Xenopus tropicalis: one gene and its partners. The protein of the gene in region 3 interacts with the protein of the main gene of each other region in a pairwise test. Links are inferred from orthologs where the notes say so. Each region holds a gene or a part of one and is shown on either strand. Other genes may lie near its edges.

Region 1 (4,773 bases), on a different chromosome or scaffold from region 3:
AGGCACAAGGCTGCAGGCTGAGTTATACAGGGAACTCTGAGTATCACTCATGTATTATAAGGGATAATGTACCCCCTACTGTAAATGATAAGGATATTAGCAGTCACTGAGGGGTTCTGTGCCCATATAAAGGCACAAGGCTGCAGGCTAATATCCTTATCATTTACAGTAGGGGGTACATTATCCCTTATAATACATGAGTGATACTCAGAGTTCCCTGTATAACTCAGCCTGCAGCCTTGTGCCTTTATATGGGGGGCACAGAACCCCTCAGTGACTGCTAATATCCTTATCATTTACAGTAGGGGTACATTATCCCTTATAATACATGAGTGATACTCAGAGTTCCCTGTATAACTCAGCCTGCAGCCTTGTGCCTTTATATGGGGGGCACAGAACCCCTCAGTGACTGCTAATATCCTTATCATTTACAGTAGGGGGTACATTATCCCTTATAATACATGAGTGATACTGAGCTGTATACTGGGTGTAAGCTCACCCATAGCAACATTCTAAATCCAGAGGCAGGACTGAGAGCATTACTATTACAGTGCCAGCTGAAATACAAATGAACTAAGAGACATACGACATAACGTAAATTACCTTTACTGATGAAAGTAACATTTCATATCTTTGAAGCTGAACAATATGCAGCTTGTTATATTATACAAACTAGCAATGGATTAAGAGTTACAGTAACTTCTGCAAATCCAAGTCACCAGACAGATCCAGTCCTGGAATGTAATCAGCTTCATATCAAACTGCAGAGAGGTACAGTTCAGCACAGGATCATTTTGCCAAACACATGGCATTCACTGCTGGGATATTTTCTGGGGGTAAAAAAAAAACAAATGTAATGTTTGTATTAATTTGCCAAACCTTAGAAATTTGATGTACCATTCTCCTAAACAAGCCTCCCCCCCACCCGAATTTGGTTCTTTATGAACTATATCCAAACTTCTGCCCTACTGTATAACAGCCCTTCCACCCCCTCGTGCTAGTGGTGCCACTAATATACATGGACTTCTAATACAGAGACACTGTTAGTCCTCTCTCTCTATCTGTGCCCTGTTCTCTCTTCTTCCCTGTTAACTCTACTTTTGTTTAGACCTCATTTTTGTCTTTTTGGATTTATTTTCACCTCCACATTTGTCTCTCTACTCCCCGAACCCCCTTCCCCTCTCTCCTTCTGTCTCTCATCCTCTCTCCTTTCCTTTTCTATTCCCCCCCCCCCCAACTGTTTGGCGTTACTCCCCCCCATCCTCCCTCTTCTCCCCCTTCTATATTTCCCCTCTCCCCCATTTGTCTCTCTACTCCCCGAACCCCCTTTTCCCTTCCCCTCTCTCCTTTTGTCTCTCATCCCCTCTCCTTTCCTTTTCTATTCCCCCCCCCCAACTGTTTGGCCTTACTCCCCCCCATCCTCCCTCTTCTCCCCCTTCTATATTTCCCCTCCCCCATTTGTCTCTCTACTCCCCGAACCCCCTTCCCCTCTCTCCTTCTGTCTCTCATCCTCTCTCCTTTCCTTTTCTATTCCCCCCCCCCCAACTGTTTGGCCTTACTCCCCCCCATCCTCCCTCTTCTCCCCCCTCTATATTTCCCCTCTCCCCCCATTTGTCTCTCTACTCCCTGAACCCCTTCCCTTCCCCTCTCTCCTTCTGTCTCTCATCCTCTCTCCTTTCCTTTTCTATCCCCCCCCCCAACTGTTTGGCCTTACTCCCCCCATCCTCCCTCTTCTTCCCCCCTTCTATATTTCCCCTCTCCCCCCATTTGTCTCTCTACTCCCCTGAACCCCCTTTCCCTTCCCCTCTCTCCTTCTGTCTCTCATCCCTCTCTCCTTTCCTTTTCTACCCCCCCCCCCAAATGTTTGGCCTTACTCCCCCCCATCCTCCCTCTTCTCCCCCCTTCTATATTTCCCCTCTCCCCCCATTTGTCTCTCTACTCCCCGAACCCCCTTTCCCTTCCCCTCTCTCCTTCTGTCTCTCATCCTCTCTCCTTTCTTTCTACCCCCCCCCCAACTGTTTGGCCTTACTCCCCCCCATCCTCCCTCTTCTCCCCCCTTCTATATTTCCCCTCTCCCCCCATTTGTCTCTCTACTCCCCGAACCCCCTTTCCCTTCCCCTCTCTCCTTCTGTCTCTCATCCCCTCTCCATTCCTTTTCCTATCCCCCCCCCCCCAACTGTTTGGCCTTACTCCCCCCCATCCTCCCTCTTCTCCCCCCTTCTATATTTCCCCTCTCCCCCCATTTGTCTCTCTACTCCCCGAACCCCCTTTCCCTTCCCCTCTCTCCTTCTGTCTCTCATCCCCTCTCCATTCCTTTCCTATTTCCCCCCCCCTTTAGACCTATTCAGCATCTTATCTGCCCGGCATATGGGCACTAACTATGGCAGGTTTGATTTTTCCATCTGGACCATCTGCCTATACCCGCCATTTTAATTCGATTGTTTGCCCCTGAGCACACCATTGATATCTTCTGTTTTCCTGCTGGTAAAGCCCTACCAGGGCCGGAACTAGGGGTAGGAAAAAGAGGCACCTGCCTAGGGTGCAACAATTGGGGGGCGCCAAGCAGCAACCTCTCCTGCCTACCCCTAGCTTGCTCTCCCTTCACTTGCCCCCGCCGGTTGTCATAACACGGGCAAGGTGGCCGACCGGGTTGCCTAGGGCGCCCAGTCGGCTTGGCCCACCTCTGAGCCCTACCCCTATCATTCTGCAATCCATCCCATAACCCAGTGAGTGCTCAGTTCTTAGATAAACCAGCTGGGAAACTGGGTCAGTGATGTGACATAGAGAAGAGGCAGCAGGGAGGGTTGCCTGAATGGGTTCATACCTGTTAGGGCAGAGGGCAATACTGCACTTGAATAAACGCACAGCAGCGCTATAACTCTTAACCCGATCCAATAAAAAATGTTGTGTATGGTTAAAATGCACGTTGTATCCATCCAATGAACATACCGTCTGTAAGAAATCTATCTCCAGCCGCAGCGCTTCATACACAGCCTCAGAATCGTCACTGCTGTACGACTCCAGTTCTTTTTTCAGCCTGTGCACATAGAAAATCAGCGTTATATTGACTTGAAATAAGAATCGGAAACGACTGCTTTGTTTCTCATTGTAATTTCAAGATTCACCCGGTCCCTGATTTTCACCGTTGCTATGTTATCTCTGTGACCCAAGTCCCATTAGCTGGTTGCACAGATCCCCCCACTCACCATGGACTTACAGTAAAAGGAATAAGGGCTCATTTTGGTTATTAGCACCAACACTTATTAGAACATCTTTTGGCATTTACATAGCCCCCCCTTCTTGTCTGTACATCTTTACATGAGCCTTATGCAAGGGATGTAAGAGTTAAAGGGGTGGTGTAACTTTGAATTGACTTTTAGTAGAGAGTAACATTTGCAATTGGTCTTCATTTTTTATTAATTGAAGATTTTTAATTATTTGAATTTTTGATTAGCAGTTCTGTGAGGATCCTGATACAATAGCGACAGACACCTTGCAACTCGGTGTATGATTGGGCTATAAGTACAAAGTACCTTTGTGTTCAGTAGATCTACTGTTAAAGGAGAAGAAAAGGCATTTTACGGCCAATAGATTGGCCACAATAGTGCCACCTAGAATGCTATATTTATTCTACAGAAAGCTTTACCATACCTGAGTAACAGCCCTAGAAGCTCCCTCTGTTTAATATAGCAGCTGCCATTTTTTTGGAGGAGTCCCAAGCCGGACTGAGCTTTCAGAAGGAGCCGGCGCTACACATTAGAACTGCTTTCAGCTAACCTATTGTTTCTCCTACTCCCATGTAACTGGAGGAGTCCCAAGCCGGACTTGGATTTCTTACTATTGAGTGCTATTCTGATACCTACTGGGAGCTGCTATCTTGCTCCCTTCCATTGTTCTGCTGATTGGCTGTTGGGGGTGAGGGGGGGGGGATATCACTCCAACTTGCAGCGCAGCAGTAAAGTGTGCCTGAGTCTGAGCTTTCAGCCAGCGCTACACATTAGAACTGCTTTCAGCTAACCTATTGTTTCTCCTACTCCCATGTAACTGGAGGAGTCCCAAGCCGGACTTGGATTTCTTACTATTGAGTGCTATTCTGATACCTACTGGGAGCTGCTATCTTGCTCCCTTCCCATTGTTCTGCTGATTGGCTGCTGGGGGTGAGGGGGGGGGATATCACTCCAACTTGCAGCGCAGCAGTAAAGTGTGAGTGAAGTTTATCAGAGCACAGGTCACATGGCTGTGGCACCCTGGGAAATGAAGAATATGGCTAGCCCCATGGGAAAAACAGATTACAATGCAGGATTCTGCTGGAGAAGCTCTATTAACTGATGGGTTTTGTAACAATTATATTTTCCCATGACAGAAGGAGTAAGGGTTAGGGGGGGATAATGCAAGAGGAAGTAGGAAATATAAGTAAAATAAAATACTATTCTGCAGGGCTCAGACCCAGCTTTCCCCCCCCCCCCAAAAGTTGATATTATACAGCAGGAAGAGGCAACTGACGCTATTACAAACCCCTCACACACCATGAAATATATGGCTCGGAAGATTGATATTTTCTGCTTATAAAACTTAACATAAAATTAAATTGCAAATATTTCTCAAAACCAGGCGGCCCGGGCGCCCTCAGGCAAAGTGTCGCTAATATAAACCATCGGTTCAGCTCCAATGGACTTTTTTTTTCTCTCTCTCCGGCGTGATTTATAAGGAGAAGAGAGTCATTTGGTTCCGTACCCTAAATTAATGACATTTTTCTTCCCTTCCCCTCACTGA
Region 2 (4,602 bases), on a different chromosome or scaffold from region 3:
GCATTACCGAAACTACATTTTTCAGCGGCAGGAGGGGGTGGCCTGGTAAGGAATGTGACAGTGAGTCAGTCATAGAGAAGCATGGGAAAGGTGCAACGAACTGGCAATAGAAACCAAGGGTAGGGCAGGACCAGATTACAATTCCCTCTGAGCACCAATTGTTCCTTTGCTATAGTGATCAGGGGAAATGCAAGCACCGGGTTCTGCAATGTAGGTGTGGTAAAGGCATAATCTGCCAACAAAATGTGTAGGTGTATGGCAGCAGTTCTATAACTGTAAGGAACACAGGTGCAGCCTTTATAACTGCGGCTTTGGCATTTAAAACAACTTAGTCTTCAAAGTGCCACATTGATGTTGAAGATAAATGAGAATGTGGTTTTAGCCTTGGACATCCAACAGACATAGATCTGGTTTCATGTACTGTATATCTTAAATATAAAACAAAGTTGTGGCACGAGTTCAATGCCAAGGCAACTATACAAATTAAATGTAATGGAGAATGCTCAATAAAAGACTGTATTATGTCTGAGACTGTATAACAGTAAGGCATGGATTACTATGTGGACAGAACATTCCTGTGCTGCCGTTCTATATAAGAGCTGTCCCTGCCCATACAGAAAGTCTCCCCAGAGGCAACAGGAGCAATGCAACAACATCCTGTACACACTGCATTCACTGAGCTAGAAACTGGGACTGCTCCCGCTTGTACTTATGAGAAGTATGCAGAGAAGGAACATTCTGTGCATATAAGCTATGCCCTCATACTTTACGGGGAACAAATGGAAAGTAACCTATAATTATAAATGCATTTGGATATGGTGTTTACTTTTCTCCGTGCAGCAGTTCACCATAATAGGAGGAAGCATGACTATTTACCTGGGAATGTAATGACCAACATAGCACTATGGTATTACTAAACAATCAGTTATTCAGCATTCAAATAACAATAAGCAGGGTAAATTTAAAGGAGTGACAGTATCCCATTTACAAAGCCCCTCGTTATTGTCTTGGTATGCAAACAGCAGAACCCACCCAAGCCCCTCCTGGCAGACTCCACATGAGAGTGTTACCTACGTTGATTAGAATACAATGCAGATCAGCAGGTTCCCCAGGCTTGTCAGAGCCGCCCAGGATCTCAGCTAGCCGGCTCATGTTGCTCACTCTCAGGATGTTGATGTCATTCTCACAGCAAAATGCCTGGATCAGGGTGAAGTGGATCTGTAAAGCGATATCCTGATCGTAGGTATCGTCAGTAGCCAACAAACAGAGCACAACGTTGTCTGGGTCCCTGAGAAAACAAGAGGTGCAGAGAAAACATTTAAAGTCAGCCTCTTTTCAAACCCAGCGCAATATTGATTAGTAAACGCCATTAATGTATGTATATAAATCTGCGTTTCCAAACGCTAAGCTAAATGGAATTAATGGGGGCAATTCACCTTTGATCTAACTTTTTTTTTTGTCAGAGCATGCCTTATTCTTGCCAACTTTTCAAATACTCCTCATTTTTTACAATTAATTTCCCTTCCTACTCTTCTAGCTTGCAATTTAAAATGCTATCTTGTAATTGGGGGACACTGATCCCAGCAGCCAAAATCACTATTGCTCTGTAAACCTACAATGTTATTGTTGCTTTTATTACCTTTGTATTCCATTCATGCCTTCTCCTATTCATATTTCAGTCTCTCATTCAAACCACTGCCTGGTTGTCAAGGTAAATTGGACCCTAGCAACCAGAAAGCTGAGCAAACAGCTAAATACTTCAAAAACCACAAACAATAACAGATAAAGAGCCAATGCAAATAGTCTCAGAATATATTACTAAAACTTAATCTAAAAGGTAAACGCAGCCTTGATTTTTTTATTTTTAAGTTTGATTTGTGCACTGTGACAACCATAATGTTAAAGTTGACTTTAAGGGGAAGTAACAAAAAAAGCCTACATACACATTGAGAAGTTTTGCAGCTTCGTACACCCCAATAGTGATGGTCCTCTGCAGTTTGGCCTTGCAGAGCACTTCCTCCAGTGCGTTTCCCACTGACTCCATCCTGCAGAATAACACAAGAAACACTCATGAGCATCTGAGCAAAGCATGCAAATGTGACTCCTGAGCTATTCCCAACAGCATCCTAACCATGCATGAGTCAGGCACTATGTCTGAGTAAGTTCTGCAGCAACAGGCACTTAGAATACCTCTCAGGCACAGACATGTGCACACACACACACATTACATATAGCTACTTACAGAGAGTACATTTATCACAGATTTACACTTTTGAACAAAAACTCAGTCCCAAAGTGAGCCATTTGAAAGGCCATTGCAGAAGCCACTAAGGAGCACTGGGCTGTGCTGGATGCTGGGAGCTGAAGTCCTATACAAGCAGGAAGGCCACAGTTTAAAAGGAACAGAAGCCCAGGGGCAAGGGGCCATAGGGCGAATGCACCTCATGACAAAATGATCCCTGCTGCAGTAAGGGGCAACCGGGGCGGCTATGCTATTGGTCGTTGTAACAAAATGATTACATGGGCCGTTGTGATGTAGCACCCACCGACCCCAAGAGGAGGTGCAAGTGCCCACAGCGCAGATGGGTGCATGGAAGGCATCTGTTCACACCAAACTACCATTTTGCGCAATGCTTTTGGCTGACCCCACAAACCCCTTTCTGACCCAGGCAAGTCCTCGCAACAGCAGCAACACACGAACACAGACTGCCCCATCCGCACGAACACAGACTGCCCCATCCGCACTATAACCCGCTCTGTGGCGCAAGAGATCTTACTTTCCAATGCTCTGATCCCCAGACAGCTGCTCCTCCAGAGTCATATTATATTGCTGTACGGGTTGCACTGCTCCGTAGCGCTGCAGATTTGTAGTGGATTTTGCGGCCAGCAAGGCTCTTCCTGGGAACTAGAAAGTTTCACCTCAGTTCTCGGAACTGCTGCCTGATACAGTAGCGCGCCGCTGCCCCGTGTTCTCCAATTGCTGACTCTACACACTCTGCTCTCACGCCTTCTCTACCCGGCTTCATACGCATACACCCAACCAACCACAGCTCCCCTCATTTGCCTATCGCGATGCTGATTGGCTCATGTAAATCAGGCTGCCGGCCACAGACTTGACCTCTTCTGCTACTCTGGGAACCGAGAGTACAGCGAGTGCGGGGCGGGGCTTACTTAGCGGCCTGCCCTGTGATTGGCTCCATACAGTTACCAGGTGCTGAACATTGTGTAAATAACCCTTTCACTGCTGACAATATTGGAACCTTACCGACTGTTACAGAAAACTTTAACAATTGCATGTCTTTGTTTTAAAATAAAGGTATCATTTCAAACACATTACATTACAGAAGAAAATAAGCCTTGTTTGCCACAGTGAATGTAAGCGCTAGCTAGCCCTGTCCGGCCATTGCATTTGTAGTAGTGTTTAGCTGTAATAACGTGTACAATTATCTTTATAGATGCATTCAGCTGTCAAAGGGAAAACTTGCAAGGGACTATCTTTTCAGTCTTACATTTGTCTCATTAATGGTACAAAGCTTTCTTCACGTTATTTGTTCTTTTTCACTTTAAATGGTAAATTACGAATGATAACGTTTTATTGCTAGCATATTAGATATCACCTTACATGATAACTATCCCAATGGAGACTCACCCCACTGGGGGTCCTTATATAAGCATCTTTATATGACATCAATCTACCCCTACTGTTCAGGTATAACATTATAATGTCACAGCAAAGACCTGGAAAGCACTGGTCTGAGGCATCATTAAAAGAATACAGTGAAACCTCAATTTTACATACCCTTATTTCAAGGATTTTCCTGCATTTTACCTTTTTTTTGCATTTCAATGGGTGTTTTTTCCCTTTTTTAAATTGATTCCACAGATTTTGCTCCTGATGTTCCCATAAATGTCTTTGTCCTCTGTAATATTATTATTAGTAAAATTAAGAGGTTTATATAACTATAGAGATGCATACTTTGCTATGGTTCTGTCTGTAAACAGTAAATGCTAGTATAGCTGCAGCTCATACAGTCATGCACAAATCATTTATTGCTTTAGGTTGTGCATGTGACTGGCAGGGAGGTCTTGCAAATGCTGTCCCATAGTGTAACAGTAATGCTGCACTGCTTAACCCTTGTCATTAACACACTAAATGTTGTATTTCAAAGTAAAACTGCCCCCTGTGCTTATGTCCTTTAAGTACAATCATTGGTTTAACACATTTACCTGATTTTACATTTTCCAAATTCTAAGTTTTTTCCTGGTCCCCTGAAAAATGTAAGATGGGGTTCTACTGTATTAGCCTGCCAAGCTATTTTCGAAGTTCCTCAAGAGGCAACTTCGGGCTACTTCACAAAGGCAGAGCAATATTTCCCCACAAGACATACGTATTATTGCCAGACAGACATTAGATGTGCTTTTTATGCAGTGAAATAGAGAATGTCACCATTTCCCATATGGCTTACATGCTTTAATTGTTGAGTTCAGTGAAATATATTGGCATACATAGTTTTTTGCTTTAGTTTATTAATGGAAACAGCCACTATTTGCTCTGCACAGGTAAATGATGCTTCCAGTAGGCATGTTATAAGGAACCCCGGC
Region 3 (4,734 bases):
ATTGAAATTGATAAACCACAGTTAAGTTATTTTTTAACAAGGGGGGCAATCACTTTTTCACACAGGGCCATGTAGATTTGGAGTTTTTTTTCTCCCTTAATAACGTAAACCTTCATTTAAAAACTGCATTTTGTGTTCAATTATGTTATCTTTGACTAATAGTTAACGGTTTTTGATGAGCAGAAACATTTTGTGTGACAAACATGCAAAAGAATAAGAAATCAGGAAGGGGGCAAATAGTTTTTAGGGATTGTATTTAGGTGGACCGGACATAAAACTACATACTGTATTTGCTTGTATGAATGCAGAGCTTGATTGGCTACCCACCTCCTATTTTGGGCTATCGCAGACACAATACTACTCTTTTAAACCATACAGAGGAAACAGAGAGTGGGGAATAAAAGTGCCATGATCAGTTTTTAGGCCAGAGTGACATCAGGCACATATATTATTCATACTGGCCTTCCGTAAAAGGTAGATTTGAGATGTGTGACAAGCGCAAGCATAACAGGAACAGTGAGTAAGGGGGGAGGCCTCTGCATAGGGTTGCCACCTTTTCTGAGAAAAACCCCGGCCTTCCTATATTTTAATCTTCTTTCCCTATTAATAACATTGAGATCAAATATCATTTTAACCACCACCACGCTGGTAAATTACCAACCACATGACAACCTTACAATAAAAAAAAAATCCATTTAATTCTCCATTAAAGGAGACATATCCTATAAAAATTAACAATGTACCAGGGAATTTACTCCCCTAGATATAGAAGGATTGTGCTAAAAAAGTTGTGTTTTGGACTGATTTATTGAGAAATTTGCACAAAACCCCACTAGCCCCGCCCATCTGTTCCACTTCCTGTTGGCTGAATTCTCTGGATGAGCTGGGGAGCCGGCGGCCCTCAGTACCCTGCACTGTAGGATAGGAACCAATCAGCAGCTAGGCTGACCTGATAGGGAACTGAAGCCTGGCTTTGCTTGTGTGAGTGCAAGGCTGTGATTGGCTCTCCCCCTCCTACCGTGCTTCCGGCAGGGACTGTTAGGACACACCCACTCTCCATTTGAAACACAGACAGCCAAATGATAGGATCTATAGGGAGCTCCAATAAAGGGGCCATTGTTACAGATAGGATTAATGTTTAGCCCAAAGGGAAACCAGCCATATATTATTCATAACTGCCTACAAAATTAGGGTTTTCCCATTTATCCAATATGTCTCCTTTAAACATAGCTGTATTAATTAAAAGAGTAAAATCCGTGTTTTCTTTCCTATACAGAGGTCCAATTCAATAAGCAAATAAACATAGAAGTACTGCGCTAACTATAGCTGTACGCCCGGCCCAACCCAAATGGGAGCACATCCAGATATACATCCGGCCAGCGCGGCTCAGACCAAACAAGCGTCAGAATGCGTGTAACCCTAACGCACTACAAAACAAACGGAAACTACATTTCCCGTCATGCAACAGCAAAGTGACGTCAGGTGAAGCGCTCCAATCTCGCGAGGTTTCCATCATTGCCGGATTGTCACGCTCGGTACCGGCGCTGGTATCTGTTGTGGCGCTCACTGGCTGCCGTTTGTGCTTCTCCATCTACTTCTACAGCGTCTGACCTGATAGAAGCCGTTGAGCGTGTGGCTGTCTGGCTCCTTCCGTCCGGCCCATTGCCGCATTGAGCCGCGCCCAGGCCCCTCCTGTCATCTCACGTATAAGACATGGCCGACCCCAAATACGCCGACCTGCCAGGCATAGTGAGTAATCTCTCATACACATCATACACCTGTACGTAACATTTATACAGATAGGCGCCTGTATGGCAGGGTGTAGGTACTATGTTCCGCCGGGTACTGGGTATACCACCTCCTGACATCAGGGTATTGGGGGGCTGAGAGAAGTAGTTCAGTGACAACTGGAACTGCTTTCTGTGAGAGTTCCAAGCTTGATGGACTTCTTTTAATTGATACTTGTAGGGAAAATTAGAAATGAATCTAATAGGACAGCACTTACATCATACTCAGCTTTGGGGCCAGTTTGTTCTTTGATTATGCAGTGATTTGATGGTTCAGCATGGCAGCTCCCACTCACATCTCCTGGAAGCTATATGTATTCCTTGTGTTTATACACACAGTATGCCTGTATGAGTAGGGCCCACTGGATCCTCAGGGGCGGGGCGTCGCAAACACTTTCCCTGTCACCTCTTGCAAGTATGTTATTTATATATGGTGCCTTCCTTCGGGTACTTGTATTTTCTCCAGAAATATATAATATGTCGGAAGATCAGTGGCAGATCCCTATTCAGAGGAATGAGGTTTGGGGGGTAGTTGCTTCAGTGGGTGGGGCATTAATGTAACTGGCAGAGCTTGGTCCAATTTGGGGATCATAGTTGCAAAGTTTTGTCTGGGATTTAGAGATTTGTTCAGGGCTGTGGAGTCAGAGGCAATTTTGGGTACCTGGAGTCGGCAAAAAATGAACCGACTCCGACTCCTACTAAATTTAAATGGGAAAAAAATAAATAAATAAAGTAAGTGTAAATGTCCCAATTCACAAACAGTCATAATTAATTACTTCTCTGCTATAAGAATAAAGCCCAATGCACGCAGTGCATAAACGAACACGTTGAGCGACCATGAAGCATGCTTTTCATTGACTGTATGAATGCATAAAATACATTAGCATATTAAAAACAGAGGAGTCGGAGTCGTAGAGTCGGAAGTATCAGAAACTGAGGAGTCGGAGAATTTATCTACCGACTCCACAGCCCTGGATTTGTTCAGACTATCTGGTTTAATATGTATTATATGTTTAATATAATACATGGAATATACTTTGGTTAACAAATAGCACACCACAGTCCTCATCTGGCAACCCCAAGAAACAATGGCATAACATTTGAGGACCCCCCACCCCACCAGGCAATCTTTCAGGTCCTCACATCAAGGCAGGAGAGGCTCAAACCCCCAGCAACCCCTCTACATAGGAACATGCACAACAGCAATTAAAAAGCTTGATGTTTGTATAATAGGAGGCATCCAGGCACAGACTGGCATTTAGTGGATATTGGCAAATGCCAGGGGGGCTGCTGTAAGATGCCATAGACAGTCACTATTTATTGGGCTGGTGGGGGCTGTTGGGCCTCTGTGTACTTGAAATGCCAGGGCCTATTTTGAATCCCAGTCTGGCTCTGGAGGTATCTGAGCAAATGAGACCGTTAACTCATAGTGTGTACAAGCATGTAAAATTTCTTGGTAGGCTTTGTTACTAAATCAGTTGCCATGGCTAGAGTAAAGGACAGACAGAAGTGCCACTAAAGCTGGCCATACGTAGGCTGATAAAAGCTGCCAACTTGGGAGCTTATCAGCCAAATGTCACTGGAGAAGGTTTTAAAATTCAGTTGGGCAAGTACTGTGCCAAACAGATCAGCCTGACTGGGCCCACAGCTTGGGTAGCCAAATCAGACACAGTTTGGGGCCTCACCAAACAACAAGAACTGTCATTGTATTGCCAGCTTTGTTCTGCAAGGGAGATAGATAAAGCATTCATCATTTATGGGGATTACATTACATTACATTACATTAACATTTATTTATAAAGCGCCAACATATTCCGCAGCGCTGTACAATATGTGGGTTACATACATTGGACATACAGAGTAACATATAAAGCAATCAGTAACCGATACAAGAGGTGAAGAGAGCCCTGCCCAAAAGAGCTTACAATCTACAAGGAGAAAGGGTTGAGACACAAGGTGTGGGAATGGGCATGACCAGAGTTGTGAGAGGTGTGGCACAGGGTATTGCTAAGCTAGATTAGGGTAAGCCTCTCTAAATAAATGTGTTTTTAGAGATCTCTTGAAGGCAGAGAGATTGGGAGAAAGTCTGACAGTTTGTGGGAGCGAATTCCAGAGAAGGGGCAGCCCTTGCAAAGTCTTGAATGCGAGCGTGTGAGGAGGGAATGAGAGAGGAGTTGAGGAGCAGGTCAGTAGAGGAGCGTAACAAGCGGGTTGGATGGTACCTAGAGATAAGTTCAGAGATGTAGGGTGGGGCAGAGTTATGGACTGCTTTAAATGTGAGGGTCAATAGTTTGAGTTTTATCCTGGATGGTAGGGGAAGCCAGTGCAGGGATTGGCAGAGTGGCATGGCAGAGGAGGAGCGGTTGGAGAGGTGTATGAGCCTGGCAGCAGTATTCATTATGGACTGGAGAGGGGACAGTCTTTGGAGGGGAAGGCCAATTAATAGGGAGTTACAGTAGTCCAGGCGAGATATTATAAGAGAGTGAATAAGAATTTTGGCAGCATCTTGGATAAATGATCGGATTTTGGAGATATTTCTTAGGTGAAAGTGGCATGATTTGATAAGTGATTGGATATGAGGAGTGAAGGACAGGGCAGAATCAAGGATAACCCCAAGGCACCGGGCCTGGGAAGATGGGGTGATGGTAGAATTGTTAACCGTTATAGATACCTCGGGAACAATGTGGGCGTGGGATGGGGGAAAGAGAACCAGTTCAGTTTTAGAGAGGTTTAATTTGAGGTAACGTTGGGACATCCAAGTGGAGATAGCGGACAGGCAGGAAGAGACGCGAGTTAGAAGCTCTGGGTTGAGATCAGGAGAGGAAAGATAGATCTGAGTATCGTCAGCATAGAGGTGGTACTGAAAGCCAAAAGAACTGATTAATTTGCCAAGTGAGGAGGTATAGAGAGAAAATAGTAAGGGGCCCAGGACAGAGCCTTGAGGAAC

Evidence for each region.
Region 1: the proteins of dctn2 (region 3) and ccdc172 interact in binary tests that used the Homo sapiens proteins (3 or more experiments, as listed by UniProt). The two-hybrid records come from large-scale screens. The link is inferred for Xenopus tropicalis from reciprocal best matches to the Homo sapiens genes DCTN2 and CCDC172.
Region 2: the proteins of dctn2 (region 3) and gadd45a interact in binary tests that used the Homo sapiens proteins (3 or more experiments, as listed by UniProt). The link is inferred for Xenopus tropicalis from reciprocal best matches to the Homo sapiens genes DCTN2 and GADD45A.

What each region holds. Positions count from the first base shown.
Region 1 is NC_030683.2:4,858,856-4,863,628, reverse strand, and holds the end of ccdc172 (coiled-coil domain-containing protein 172), read right to left. Parts: intron 3,038-4,773; coding exon 2,950-3,037; intron 831-2,949; coding exon 813-830; 3' UTR 591-812; downstream 1-590.
Region 2 is NC_030680.2:83,503,499-83,508,100, forward strand, and holds the start of gadd45a (growth arrest and DNA damage-inducible protein GADD45 alpha), read right to left. Parts: upstream 2,931-4,602; 5' UTR 2,822-2,930; coding exon 2,778-2,821; intron 2,046-2,777; coding exon 1,944-2,045; intron 1,289-1,943; coding exon 1,075-1,288; intron 1-1,074. UniProt on the Homo sapiens protein: In T-cells, functions as a regulator of p38 MAPKs by inhibiting p88 phosphorylation and activity.
Region 3 is NC_030678.2:140,663,462-140,668,195, reverse strand, and holds the start of dctn2 (dynactin subunit 2), read left to right. Parts: upstream 1-1,525; 5' UTR 1,526-1,713; coding exon 1,714-1,749; intron 1,750-4,734. UniProt on the Homo sapiens protein: Part of the dynactin complex that activates the molecular motor dynein for ultra-processive transport along microtubules. In the dynactin soulder domain, binds the ACTR1A filament and acts as a molecular ruler to determine the length.